Linked DNA regions of Saccharomyces cerevisiae S288C. The protein of the gene in region 4 interacts with the protein of the main gene of each other region in a biochemical or structural test. Each region holds a gene or a part of one and is shown on either strand. Other genes may lie near its edges.

Region 1 (2,704 bases), on a different chromosome or scaffold from region 4:
GCTGAGGAAGAGAAGCAGGAGCCAGAGAGCAAGAGGTCGATCATATTAAATGAAGAGGCAAATCTGAACGATGTATTTGTGGGGTCCACTGTAAGACGGTATATTCTCGATATCATGGTCCATTTGCGAACGCATAGATTGACGTATAACGCCAAAGCCGGCGGGGTATATACAAATTCATTGGACGACGTGGTGTTATTGTCTAGATTAATTGGTCTACATAGCGGCAAGATGTTTGTGTCACCTTCACATGTCAAAGAGGCGTCCAGGTGGTACTTCCCCATGCACTTGGAATTGGTTCAGCGTTCCTCCATGGATAGTTCCTTATTGTACGGTAGCGACCCCAACTTGGTGGACGAAATGCTAGAGAAACTTGCGAAGATTAAGTGTGAGGAGGTTAATGAGTTTGAGAATCCCCTTTTCCTGGAATCTCTCGTAGTGAAAAACGTACTAAGTAAAGTCGTGCCGCCCGTGTAAGTTTATTATGTATTTCGAGCATGCATCTGGAACCTATGTTTACATACGTACAAACGGTATTTAAAAGTTTCTATTCTTAGCGTCAATTGCCCTTTATCGTTTTGTTAACCAATTGTTGTTTTTATTCATTATGCCATGACCCGAAAAATGAGCAAAATCGGTCAAAGTAAATAGCTAAATATTTGGTCTAAAAAGTAAGAGAGAAATGAAAATGGCAAGGCTTAACTACTTTGCAATAGTGTATATAGACATTACCAATTGAGTCCAGCAACGAAAGATTCCGCTTGCACTTGGTCAATCATTTACTGACCATAATACGAAGTAATAGAGATGCTACTAAAAGATGACCATGCGATTACAATTTACAATAGACAATTAAGCGCAAGGACAATCAGTATGCATTCCATTTCTAATAGACAAGGTGCTATGAGTGAATTGCTAGCCTCCCCTTTTTATTTTGTGCGGTCACCGCAAGGGACAAAGCTTTTCTTAGAAAACCGTCTGAGAAGCATAACGTACGCCATCCCCTAGACATATTAATAATGCTACAGATACTATGCTGCTCGTCTTTTTTTGACGACCCTTTTATTGCAATGTGCAACTAATGGCAAACAACCACATAGTATCACAGTATTACATTGCCTCCACCGATGCGGATGTTAGGGCGCCAAGTCTGTCATGAAGCATGTTCCTGTCATAATCTTGTATGCAAAATACCGCGTTCTGCGCCACTGATATGCTAGGCAGCAGCAACCTATGCAGAAGATTGCTTTTCCCACGCCTGTTTTACGTCTCCAGGGCACTTGAAACAATGCAGCGATCGCCGCCACAACACGCCAAAGAGAAGCGAAAGTGGGCCTGGGCGGCCTCAGTTTCGGCAGAGGTAAACAACACGAACTGAACTGCCTTAGCTCCGAAGGGCAATTCCACAGGCACTCCGCGGGGCCCGGCCAAGGCCCAAAAGGCGTGGAATATGCGCGTTTTGGGGCCATAACACCCAGTACCACGGCCGGAACGGGCCATATAATAAGTTTTTCACTCTCAAGAATGGTAAACGTAAATAGGAACATCCCACTACCCTAGAAATTGCGGAAATTTCGCGCTTATCATTAGAAAATCTGGAACCGTCCTTTTTCCTCTTTCTTGCATTTCCCTTTCCGTATTATTGCCATTCTTTAACTGCATTTGGGGAACCGTAGACCAAAAGCCAAACAGAGAAATGTAACGTTCTAAAAAAAAAACAACGAAAAAATTGAAAAATAAGATACAATAATCGTATATAAATCAGGCTTCTTGTTCATCATTTTCAATTCTCTTCTTGCCATCCCTTTTCCTATCTTTGTTCTTTTCTTCTCATAATCAAGAATAAATAACTTCATCACATTCGCTACACACTAACAAGAAAAAAAATGCAATTCTCTACTGTCGCTTCCGTTGCTTTCGTCGCTTTGGCTAACTTTGTTGCCGCTGAATCCGCTGCCGCCATTTCTCAAATCACTGACGGTCAAATCCAAGCTACTACCACTGCTACCACCGAAGCTACCACCACTGCTGCCCCATCTTCCACCGTTGAAACTGTTTCTCCATCCAGCACCGAAACTATCTCTCAACAAACTGAAAATGGTGCTGCTAAGGCCGCTGTCGGTATGGGTGCCGGTGCTCTAGCTGCTGCTGCTATGTTGTTATAAGAAATCTCTGATTTTTTATAATATCTATATGGCTTTTTTCAAAATTTTCGGTTTTACTAGGTAAGTGTTTGATTCTTTTCTTTTCGTTAATATATTTTTACACATAATTTTAAATAATTTTTGTTATTTTGAATAGGTAGATACCATAAAAATAAAACACTTTTTACTTTAACGATGTTCCTGTGATTTCTCTTCGAATGAGTCAAAAATTTGAACTCGAAATGAATGTATTAGAGACTGGGTTTCTTCGAGTTTGCTGAGATCTTGGCTATGCACAATGTTTCCTGCGCCCCTAAGGTGAAAAAAACATGCATGCTTGTTTCAACAGACCAGTGTGCATAAAGAATTTCGCCCTTAGCTGCGATTAAAGAGTCAAGGCGTGAAAAACATAGGCGAAAGTGCTGACCGTTCTTCCCTTTATCTTTTTACCATCTTCGTTATCTGTTACCTGTTCAAAAGAAAGTGGGAAAGATATTGGTGTGCTACGGTGGGATCTTTTTTTTCTGCCATTTTCTATACTTTACTTCCACTTATAAAAT
Region 2 (2,650 bases), on a different chromosome or scaffold from region 4:
GTGATACCTGTCCTTCATTCTCAACGGTCGATCTTCCTTTATCTCAACTGACCAAACTAGGCGAATTAACTGTGCTTCTACTGTTGTTAAACGATTCAATGACCCTATTCAATAAGCAGGCTATTAATAACCATGTTTCGGCATTAATGAATAATTTGAGGTTGATTCGAAGCCAAATCACATTGATAAACCTGGAATATTATGACCAAGAGACAATCAAATTTATTGCCATCACAAAATTTTATGAATCTCTGTACATGCATGATGATCATAAATCAAGTTTAGACGAAGATTTGAGCTGTCTGTTAAGCTTCCAGATAAAAGATTTCAAGTTATTCCATTTTTTGAAAAAAATGTATTACTCAAGACATTCGCTTCTAGGTCAGTCTTCATTCATGGTACCCGCTGCTGAAAACCTATCTCCGATACCTGCCTCTATTGATACGAACGACATTCCTTTAATTGCTAACGATTTAAAATTACTGGAAACGCAAGCAAAATTGATAAATATTCTGCAAGGTGTTCCTTTCTACTTGCCAGTAAATTTAACCAAAATTGAAAGTCTGTTAGAAACCTTGACTATGGGCGTGAGTAATACAGTAGACTTATATTTTCATGACAACGAAGTCAGAAAAGAATGGAAAGACACTTTAAATTTTATCAATACCATTGTTTATACAAATTTTTTCCTTTTTGTTCAAAACGAATCCTCTTTGTCCATGGCAGTTCAACATTCTTCTAACAACAATAAGACCTCGAACTCTGAAAGATGTGCAAAGGATCTGATGAAAATTATTTCTAATATGCACATTTTTTACTCAATAACATTTAATTTTATCTTCCCCATAAAGTCGATAAAGTCATTTTCAAGCGGCAATAATCGCTTTCATTCTAATGGTAAAGAATTTTTATTCGCAAATCATTTTATTGAAATCTTACAGAATTTTATAGCAATCACATTTGCTATTTTCCAACGTTGTGAAGTAATATTATATGACGAATTTTACAAAAATCTTTCAAATGAGGAGATTAATGTTCAATTGCTATTGATTCATGACAAGATTTTGGAAATTTTAAAAAAAATAGAAATTATCGTATCCTTTTTACGAGATGAAATGAATAGCAACGGAAGTTTCAAATCTATTAAAGGTTTCAACAAGGTTTTGAATCTGATTAAATATATGCTGAGATTTAGCAAGAAAAAACAAAATTTTGCGAGAAACTCTGATAACAATAATGTTACAGATTATAGTCAGTCGGCGAAGAACAAAAATGTTCTCTTGAAATTCCCCGTTAGTGAACTGAACAGAATCTATTTAAAATTTAAGGAGATTTCAGATTTTTTAATGGAAAGAGAAGTTGTCCAAAGGAGTATAATTATTGACAAGGATTTGGAATCTGATAATCTGGGTATTACTACGGCAAACTTCAACGATTTCTATGATGCATTTTATAATTAGTAAGCCGATCCCATTACCGACATTTGGGCGCTATACGTGCATATGTTCATGTATGTATCTGTATTTAAAACACTTTTGTATTATTTTTCCTCATATATGTGTATAGGTTTATACGGATGATTTAATTATTACTTCACCACCCTTTATTTCAGGCTGATATCTTAGCCTTGTTACTAGTTAGAAAAAGACATTTTTGCTGTCAGTCACTGTCAAGAGATTCTTTTGCTGGCATTTCTTCTAGAAGCAAAAAGAGCGATGCGTCTTTTCCGCTGAACCGTTCCAGCAAAAAAGACTACCAACGCAATATGGATTGTCAGAATCATATAAAAGAGAAGCAAATAACTCCTTGTCTTGTATCAATTGCATTATAATATCTTCTTGTTAGTGCAATATCATATAGAAGTCATCGAAATAGATATTAAGAAAAACAAACTGTACAATCAATCAATCAATCATCACATAAAATGTTCAGCGAATTAATTAACTTCCAAAATGAAGGTCATGAGTGCCAATGCCAATGTGGTAGCTGCAAAAATAATGAACAATGCCAAAAATCATGTAGCTGCCCAACGGGGTGTAACAGCGACGACAAATGCCCCTGCGGTAACAAGTCTGAAGAAACCAAGAAGTCATGCTGCTCTGGGAAATGAAACGAATAGTCTTTAATATATTCATCTAACTATTTGCTGTTTTTAATTTTTAAAAGGAGAAGGAAGTTTAATCGACGATTCTACTCAGTTTGAGTACACTTATGTATTTTGTTTAGATACTTTGTTAATTTATAGGTATACGTTAATAATTAAGAAAAGGAAATAAAGTATCTCCATATGTCGCCCCAAGAATAAAATATTATTACCAAATTCTAGTTTGCCTAACTTACAACTCTGTATAGAATCCCCAGATTTCGAATAAAAAAAAAAAAAAAAGCTATTCATGGTACCCGCTGCTGAAAACCTATCTCCGATACCTGCCTCTATTGATACGAACGACATTCCTTTAATTGCTAACGATTTAAAATTACTGGAAACGCAAGCAAAATTGATAAATATTCTGCAAGGTGTTCCTTTCTACTTGCCAGTAAATTTAACCAAAATTGAAAGTCTGTTAGAAACCTTGACTATGGGCGTGAGTAATACAGTAGACTTATATTTTCATGACAACGAAGTCAGAAAAGAATGGAAAGACACTTT
Region 3 (2,760 bases), on a different chromosome or scaffold from region 4:
CACTTTTGAAGATGCGTTCGCCGTGGAAAAATGGCCAATTACGTTAGACACAGACTCTCCAGTTTGGTTTAATTTTGCATGGTATGGATCCTTACTCTCGATGATCATTTTCATGTGCGTGCAATGTAAGAGAATGATATCTTGGAATCCGTGGACAACTGCTGAACCTTCCTTTTCTATCAAATGGGAGGTCTACAATGAATTTGGCTGGGAGTGCATTGTCGGTTGGTTTTTACATTTTTACATCTTCACAATGAGTCCACACTTCAACTTGGGGAAAAAACTGTACTTCCAAAGTTTTTTCTTTAGTGTATTGTGTCTTTTAGAATCGTTAGATTGCCTTGCAAAGTAACTCGTAGAAAGATTTTCTCCATTATGATTTTTCTCCCATTGCTTCAATAATTCTCCGGTACAAATAGAGTAGCACAATTATTTATAAGAATAACATACATACGCTTAACTCTGCCATATAACTATAGTACATTTTCTGTCCTCTGTTCGCAAATTTCTTTGTAAAACTTAAGTTTATGTGCTCTTTTTTGAGTTTGCAATGCCATCTACAAAATCTTCAATTAAAGAATCAACGTGCCTTAAAAGTTTCTCCTTCTTTTTGATGGCCTCAATTTTTTCGTCTTCCACTTCAACTAGCTTTTTCTGCAACATATCAATCTTCCTTAATTGCTCTTCAGCTGAAACGTCAACACCAGGTAACGAGTCAATAAGCTTGTTTATCTGTCTTGTTTTAAGTATAATGTCCGTGGATAGCTCATCTATCGTGTTAGAAAATTCCTCAGGAGGTACTACTGTGGCATGCTTATCGGACATCTGAGGTTCATTTACGGTCAATCGTTCAAAACCATGGTTCTTATCTATGTAGTTTAAAGTAGCACAGAATTGCTCCGTCATTTGGTCTAAACATATCTGCAATTGTGTTAATCTATCTGTCATTGTTAAAGAGCATATAATGTATTGAACTAGTGAAATGTTATGTCCCTCTTTTAACCAATGGTTTACCGTTTGAATTATAATTATCTTTCAGAATTGATTTTTTTTCTAACTTTCTTGCAATGCGAACAAAGCTTGTAATTAAGCACGTACGGTTGGCCTTTAAAGGATTACAGAGAAAGACAAGGCTTCTACAGAAACAGCCACATGTTCTACAAAAGCGCACTTCACGCATATAAGCATATAAATGTTAGTTATATGAACAATCTTAAGTAATATATAATAAATCAGAAAAGTTTAACTGTAAAAGAAATTGTGTTTTAAAAGAAGATATAATAAACGAATGTATGGGATAACGCCAAGTTAAATGAATGTCCTTGTTTTGTAACTAAAGCAGAAGAAATAATATTGTTAGCTCTAGTTATTTTAATAGTGAAAAAATAGCCGAAATAAAGAACAAAGAAAAAAGAATGAGGAAACGAATGAATGAGATTAACGAGTAAAAAACGAATGAATGATACTTCAGATGGTCCTTGAATATGTTTTATAAGCTGATTCTTTGAATTTTTTTTTTTTTTTTTTTTCATTTTCTGTCCTTAGCTTAAGTTTGCAGGGGCTCGAGCTGGTTGAAAGAATAAAGAACATCATCGAAAGATTTTCTATGGTTTACAGGGGAGTCAGAGTAGGAAAATTTAGATTGTGGAGAAGGCGTAGCTATAGAGTTTCTTCTCTTGGGAAGAGGGCTTTGGCGTGAAGGAAAGAAGGCTTTTGCTGAGTCCTTATTTGAGTTTGGGGTCTCTAAAAGGCTACGATAAGCGCTTGACCTCTGAGAACGAGGCAAGAAGTCTAAAATAGGCTTATCTTCAAGTAGTGTGGGGAAGTTGTAGTTCTTCAAAAAATCCAGCGAAGACTCACTAGAATCCGTGGAATTAGTGTATCTATGACCCAGAGCGTGTGACTTATTTTTAAATTGTTTTGGAGATGCGTTTGGGGAATACTCAAAAATAGATGTAGCCATAGTTGACGTAGATACGACTCTCCCATTAATGGAATGATTGTTTCCTTGTGTGTTTTTAGAGTAATTGGAGGACGTTACTGAGATCGAACGCGCGACTGATAGTCTTGATGTCTTATTTTCGTGCGATCTTGAAATGAGTTTGCTTTCACGATTAGCAGGGATCCTTTCAGTGACAAAAGCTTTATTTAGTGATTTCGAATCCCGCTTGCTTGAGGAGGAGGTATAGTCGTCCTTAATCTCTGTGGACAGCGATGAAGGTTCCTGCAATTGCTCATCTTGGAATCCATTTCTAGTGTCAGCATGTGAAATATGTTGAAAATCAAATGGTGTGGAGATACCTTTACCTCTTATGTCCGGTTGGGCACCAAGCAACTTTTTCTTCAACAAATTAAGCTTAAGGAAAACCTTTTTGTGATTTGTCTTGTTGGCGCTGGACGATGATGACGATGATTCTTTAGACTTTGCAGAGTTAGAATTACTTCTCCTGTGGTGGCAAGACGGATGTGAATTTGGTGAAAGTGGAGGCAACTCAATGTTTTTCTTGTTACTCAGCACAGGTTTATCGCTGTTGATGAAAGTAATGCCTAGGTTTTCTTCATCATCAGATCCCATGAATTGCTGGGCCTGCAGACCGTAGAGTTTTTCAGCTTCTTCATCTTCATCCAGCCAAATCGACCGCATCTGTGGAAGGTTCATGGTTTCGTTTCCAGTATTGGTAATACTTGCACTAGTCATATTCGTTCTTTTGATAGCGTATTCTGTCAGGTATTCCTTTTGTTAGTGTTAGGTGTTTCGGA
Region 4 (4,386 bases):
ATGATCTACTGTATGGAATATGGATTGGAAGCCAACGTTAGAAACACTAGGGCTAATGGGGTTCCTCGAGCCCTTCAAATTCTTGATGGAATAAACGTCATCATTTGATGTGTCTACAAGAGTTTGCCGGCTAATCTCGCTTGTAGTCTGAAAATTTTTTACTGGGGCTGTGGCTAATTGCACATTAAGGTATTGTTCGCTATTGACAGGGCGTTGTGTCGTAGTAGATGTTCTTTCTCGAAGGAGTATATCTTCTGCTGTCATAATGAAAGAACTTTATTTCTACAGAGGTCAATTGGCGTTTCTGTCACCTAGATCTTTTCATTTGGTTATTCCCTCTATAAATTTACTCATCGGTCAATTTTTCTAACATTATGCACCTTTGTCACCGGCCCTTAGAAGAGGTGAAGATGATTCGTGAACATTGGTGATAAGCGAGAATATTTTCTATAAATTTGTAAAGTAAAAATAAATTACGTGCTATTTAGTTTGCAATGTGTACTTATTGTTAGTATATGTATTTTTTGCATGCGGCGATGAAGGCCAGTAAAACCAACGCTCTTGCATGCTTACCTCTTTCATCAGCTGGTGATTTAAAAACCATTCCCAACAATATCAGTGACATATAAGAGAGCCACGACCCCGTTTTGGTACACTTAAATATGATTATCGTTAATATCATAGAAACTAGTTTGTAACAAACCTGGATTGTTCTATTTAAAGCAGAATACTTTTGGAGGTTTTGGGTTGATACGGTGCTCAAATTTTCCTCTGGTGCTGGTAATGATAAAGTAACGTTGTCTCCGTCAATATAATCATCAGTAAAACTGTTGGTATTCTCATTCACTTCCGAGATTGTACTGAAGTTCAAAGTGCTATCCACATTTTCTTTCCAGAATTTTTTGCCGGGTTTGGAATTTATTAGCATTTCATCTAACGTCTCCTCCACTGTCTTCGCTGTGGGTCTAGCATCATTATTTGGTTGTAAAAGAGCGTCCATTAGGTGAAATATTCTACGGTCTATTGGTTTCAATTTCATCGCTTGATGCTTTTCAATCATACCTTCAGTGTCGAACCTAAAATTTTTGATGCGTACCTTCAAATCAACTATATCCAACTGTGGTTCAAAGGGCAATTCACCGAAGACAATAAAATAGCAAATCATTCCTAGAGAATACATATCGGAAGCAAAGGTGTATTCATTGTATGTGTGACTCGATCTTGAAGGCAACGTAGAAGAAGAAACTGGTCTCCCCTGGATAATAAGGTCTGGTGCTGTAAACTCTAATGTTCCTGTGCAACCAGTACCCAATCTGGACTCTCCTTCCAACTGACTTTCCCCCAAATCGCCAATAACAATTGATGGGAAAAACTCATCTGAATTGTGTTCCCTGTCGTATACGTTGTCATTCTCATTGTCACTTTTAAATGGAGTCAATAATAAACAGTTGGATGGTTTCAAGTCCCTATGTATTAGGCCAATACTGTGCAGTTCGTGTAAACCTCTTGCAATATCCCTTATAATGGATACGAGCTGTTCCGTAGATAGGCCAACTTCTCCTGATTTACCGTGATTTTTCTTGCGAGTTCTAAATTTTTTTTTCCTCTCTTCAGGTGATTCGGTATCTGAGAACCTATTGAACACTTTTCTTAGAATACAGTCTTCTAAATTGCCGCCACTGCAATACTGTTGTAAAATGAAAATACAAGGAACTTCTTCTTGTGAATCCGATTGGCTCCCATCAATGGATCTGACAAATCCAACCGAAGAATCCATTTCGAGCCACACATGATTATACGTAATCAAATTGGCACTTTTGTGAGTTAGCGAACTCAACGCTTTCACTTCCCGTATGCACTTATTAAACCATTCCATATCATTTCCAATAGGTATTTTTTTTAGTGCAAAAACACCTAATTCAGTATTACCAATTGTGTGTACAACTTTGTAAACAGAACCTCTTGCACCATTTCCCAGCAAAGACAATATTTTGAAAAATTTACGAAAGTATCCGGGGATAAACAAATCATCTGGAATAAAGTATTTGTTTTTGCTGAACTGTCCCTGCTTATTGTTACTATCGTTTTGTAGGGCGTAGTGCCGATGATTTCTTTCCAATGACTGAAAATATCTTCTTGAAAAGCTTGAATTGGCAAATTCAAATCCAAGTGGCACAGTGTTCTCTGGAATACTGAGCCTACTGCTTTCTGATTCTACTCCAGCAGAGGCTCGACGATGAAGTTGTCTTCTGTTTATAATATCAGGGTTAATTTCCGTACCACATTGCGGGCACACATAGGAAGCAATAGGGCTTTTGTATTGATGAATCCCTGAAGGAAAGTCCAGTGCTGATAAAGATGCAGTCTGGTCTTCATTTAGTTCAGAGTCATTATTACTGTTGTCCTGTTGGAAAAATGATAAAGTTCCTGAGGTTGGATTAACAACCACCACTGATTTAGAATTAGGATCATCTAAAATCAGCGAACCTTCTTCATATGGTACTAAACTCATTTCTAAGTTCTACTTATGCTATCCCTCAAACTATATATCTAATAGTGTTTCTTCGGTTACCTAGTTGTCACTCATAGGATCTATATATACAATGTCCTTCCCCCCCACCCCCTTTTCTGAAACGTATACAAAAAATAAAGCTTGAAATACGTTATTACGTAAAAAAAGTGTACTGTAAAAGCTTACAAAAAAGAGTTTGCGAAAAATTATAAATAAAAAGTAGTCTAGGTAAAATATGAAATGTTTCTAATTATGCATTTATGTGATCCTGAAAACCGCCCTTCTTACGTTGGACCATGATGATCACATTTATAAATATGGTTTTCTTTCCAATGCGCATTTCACTTTCTGTGAGTTCAATTTTCCCAAATCGTCAAAGCTTTTGGAACAGTCAGAGCACTTGTATTTTTTCTGATGGGTCTTAATATGTTTGCTCAAATTTGACGATTCGTTGAATCTCTTACCACAAATCTTGCATTGTAAAGGTTTTTCACCAGTATGGGTTCTTATATGAATCTTCAAAGAACTTGAAATCGCGAATTTTTTATTACAAATGTGACATTTGTAAGGTTTTTCGCCAGAGTGTGTCCTGGTATGCTGAACTAAAGTTTCTTCGCTTGAAAAACACCTTTTACATGTCTTGCACTTATAAGGTTTGTATTTCGAATGCACTTTTAAATGACGGATTAATTTTTGTCTTTGGGGGAACGTACGATGGCAGTCATGCCACAAGCATTGGTATTCAGACTTACCCCGGGTTAAATGTACTGCTTCTAAATGGTCGTTTAATTCCTGAGCACTGGAAAATGACTTATTGCAACCATCCCATTGGCAAATCACCTGTTCCGGCTGCTTGATTGGCGGTATATTGGAAACATCATTTGCAGACGTCATATCAGGTGCTCCATCTGCTTTAGAAACTTCGTGTGTTTGTGGGTTGGGGCAATGTAGTAAGTGATGTTTTTCCTTTGATATACTACCAGGCAAAAATGAGTCTGGGTTGGCAAATTGAATATCAAAATTGATACCATGTTGACAATTAATATGGTTCACTATGGAACATGTATCATCTCCAAGGAAATCACAGTCCTCCCAATTACAAGCTAATGGTTCCATAGGGTGTTTGAAATCTTGAGAGACATGATCCTTCAAAAGATGTCTTTGTAGGTCAAATAGTGAGCTACAAGACTCAGGACATTCTTTCCATTTGCATTTTAAGTCATTGTTTTTCTCTTCTTTAAAACACCAGTTGAAATTTATAGTGCTTGTTGTCTGTATAGGAGGAGAGATGCTAGAAGGTAATGAGTCTTCCAAAGAGCTGAAATCAGTAGATTCTAGATCTTTTGTAGGCCAAGATCTACGATTTTTCTGATTCTGATGAGTGACTTTGGGTAGCGAAGGGGGCTCACTTTGATTTCTAAATCTTTCATAACTATACTCTCTTGAAATTAAGTCATTTAAATCGTTGTTAGTTAGATCGGCTGTTGTGTTCGCCGCGCTAATCCCTGAATTGTTCACAATATTGTTTCTATTTGGTTTGTGAGAATGAAACTGTATTCTATGGTGATGGTGTTGATGATCAGTTGAAGTTGCTCCAGCCGTATTGTTATTGCTTCCATTAAGATTATTTTTAGGGTTGCATCTATTAATGCTTGATAATAGAAGATTCATTGTTTGGTTACCGTTTTCATTATTTCCTGTGCTCGAACCATCGCAGCCGTTACCGGCATTATTGTGGTCGTGGTGGTTAATGTGTTTTCCAAACGGTACTTCATACAAAGAAGAAATATTGCATAAATCTTCCAAAATCTTCAAATCCATATCAGTATTTAAGATATGTTCGTGATAAGCATGATTTGTACCTTGCAAAGTGT

Evidence for each region.
Region 1: of the proteins of IKS1 (region 4) and CWP2, one has a biochemical effect on the other in vitro, tested with the Saccharomyces cerevisiae proteins (one large-scale study listed by BioGRID).
Region 2: the proteins of IKS1 (region 4) and CUP1-2 form a complex in vitro, tested with the Saccharomyces cerevisiae proteins (one large-scale study listed by BioGRID).
Region 3: the proteins of IKS1 (region 4) and SRB7 form a complex in vitro, tested with the Saccharomyces cerevisiae proteins (one large-scale study listed by BioGRID).

Annotation. Positions count from the first base shown.
Region 1 is NC_001143.9:257,367-260,070, forward strand, and holds CWP2 (Cwp2p), read left to right. Parts: upstream 1-1,886; coding exon 1,887-2,165; downstream 2,166-2,704. Other genes in the region: MTC2 (Mtc2p), read left to right, coding at 1-477; YKL097C (uncharacterized protein), read right to left, coding at 1,137-1,547; YKL096C-B (uncharacterized protein), read right to left, coding at 1,707-1,856. UniProt on the Saccharomyces cerevisiae protein: Component of the cell wall.
Region 2 is NC_001140.6:213,993-216,642, reverse strand, and holds CUP1-2 (metallothionein CUP1-2), read left to right. Parts: upstream 1-1,924; coding exon 1,925-2,110; downstream 2,111-2,650. Other genes in the region: RSC30 (Rsc30p), read left to right, coding at 1-1,460; YHR054C-B (uncharacterized protein), read left to right, coding at 1,953-2,126; YHR054C (uncharacterized protein), read left to right, coding at 2,394-2,650. UniProt on the Saccharomyces cerevisiae protein: Protects the cell against copper toxicity by tightly chelating copper ions. May also act as a depository for copper designated for the effective transfer into the apo forms of copper proteins.
Region 3 is NC_001136.10:1,077,502-1,080,261, forward strand, and holds SRB7 (Srb7p), read right to left. Parts: upstream 949-2,760; coding exon 526-948; downstream 1-525. Other genes in the region: PMT7 (putative dolichyl-phosphate-mannose--protein mannosyltransferase), read left to right, coding at 1-352; GIC2 (Gic2p), read right to left, coding at 1,547-2,698.
Region 4 is NC_001142.9:327,610-331,995, forward strand, and holds IKS1 (protein kinase IKS1), read right to left. Parts: upstream 2,513-4,386; coding exon 509-2,512; downstream 1-508. Other genes in the region: BIT61 (Bit61p), read right to left, coding at 1-264; ZAP1 (Zap1p), read right to left, coding at 2,822-4,386.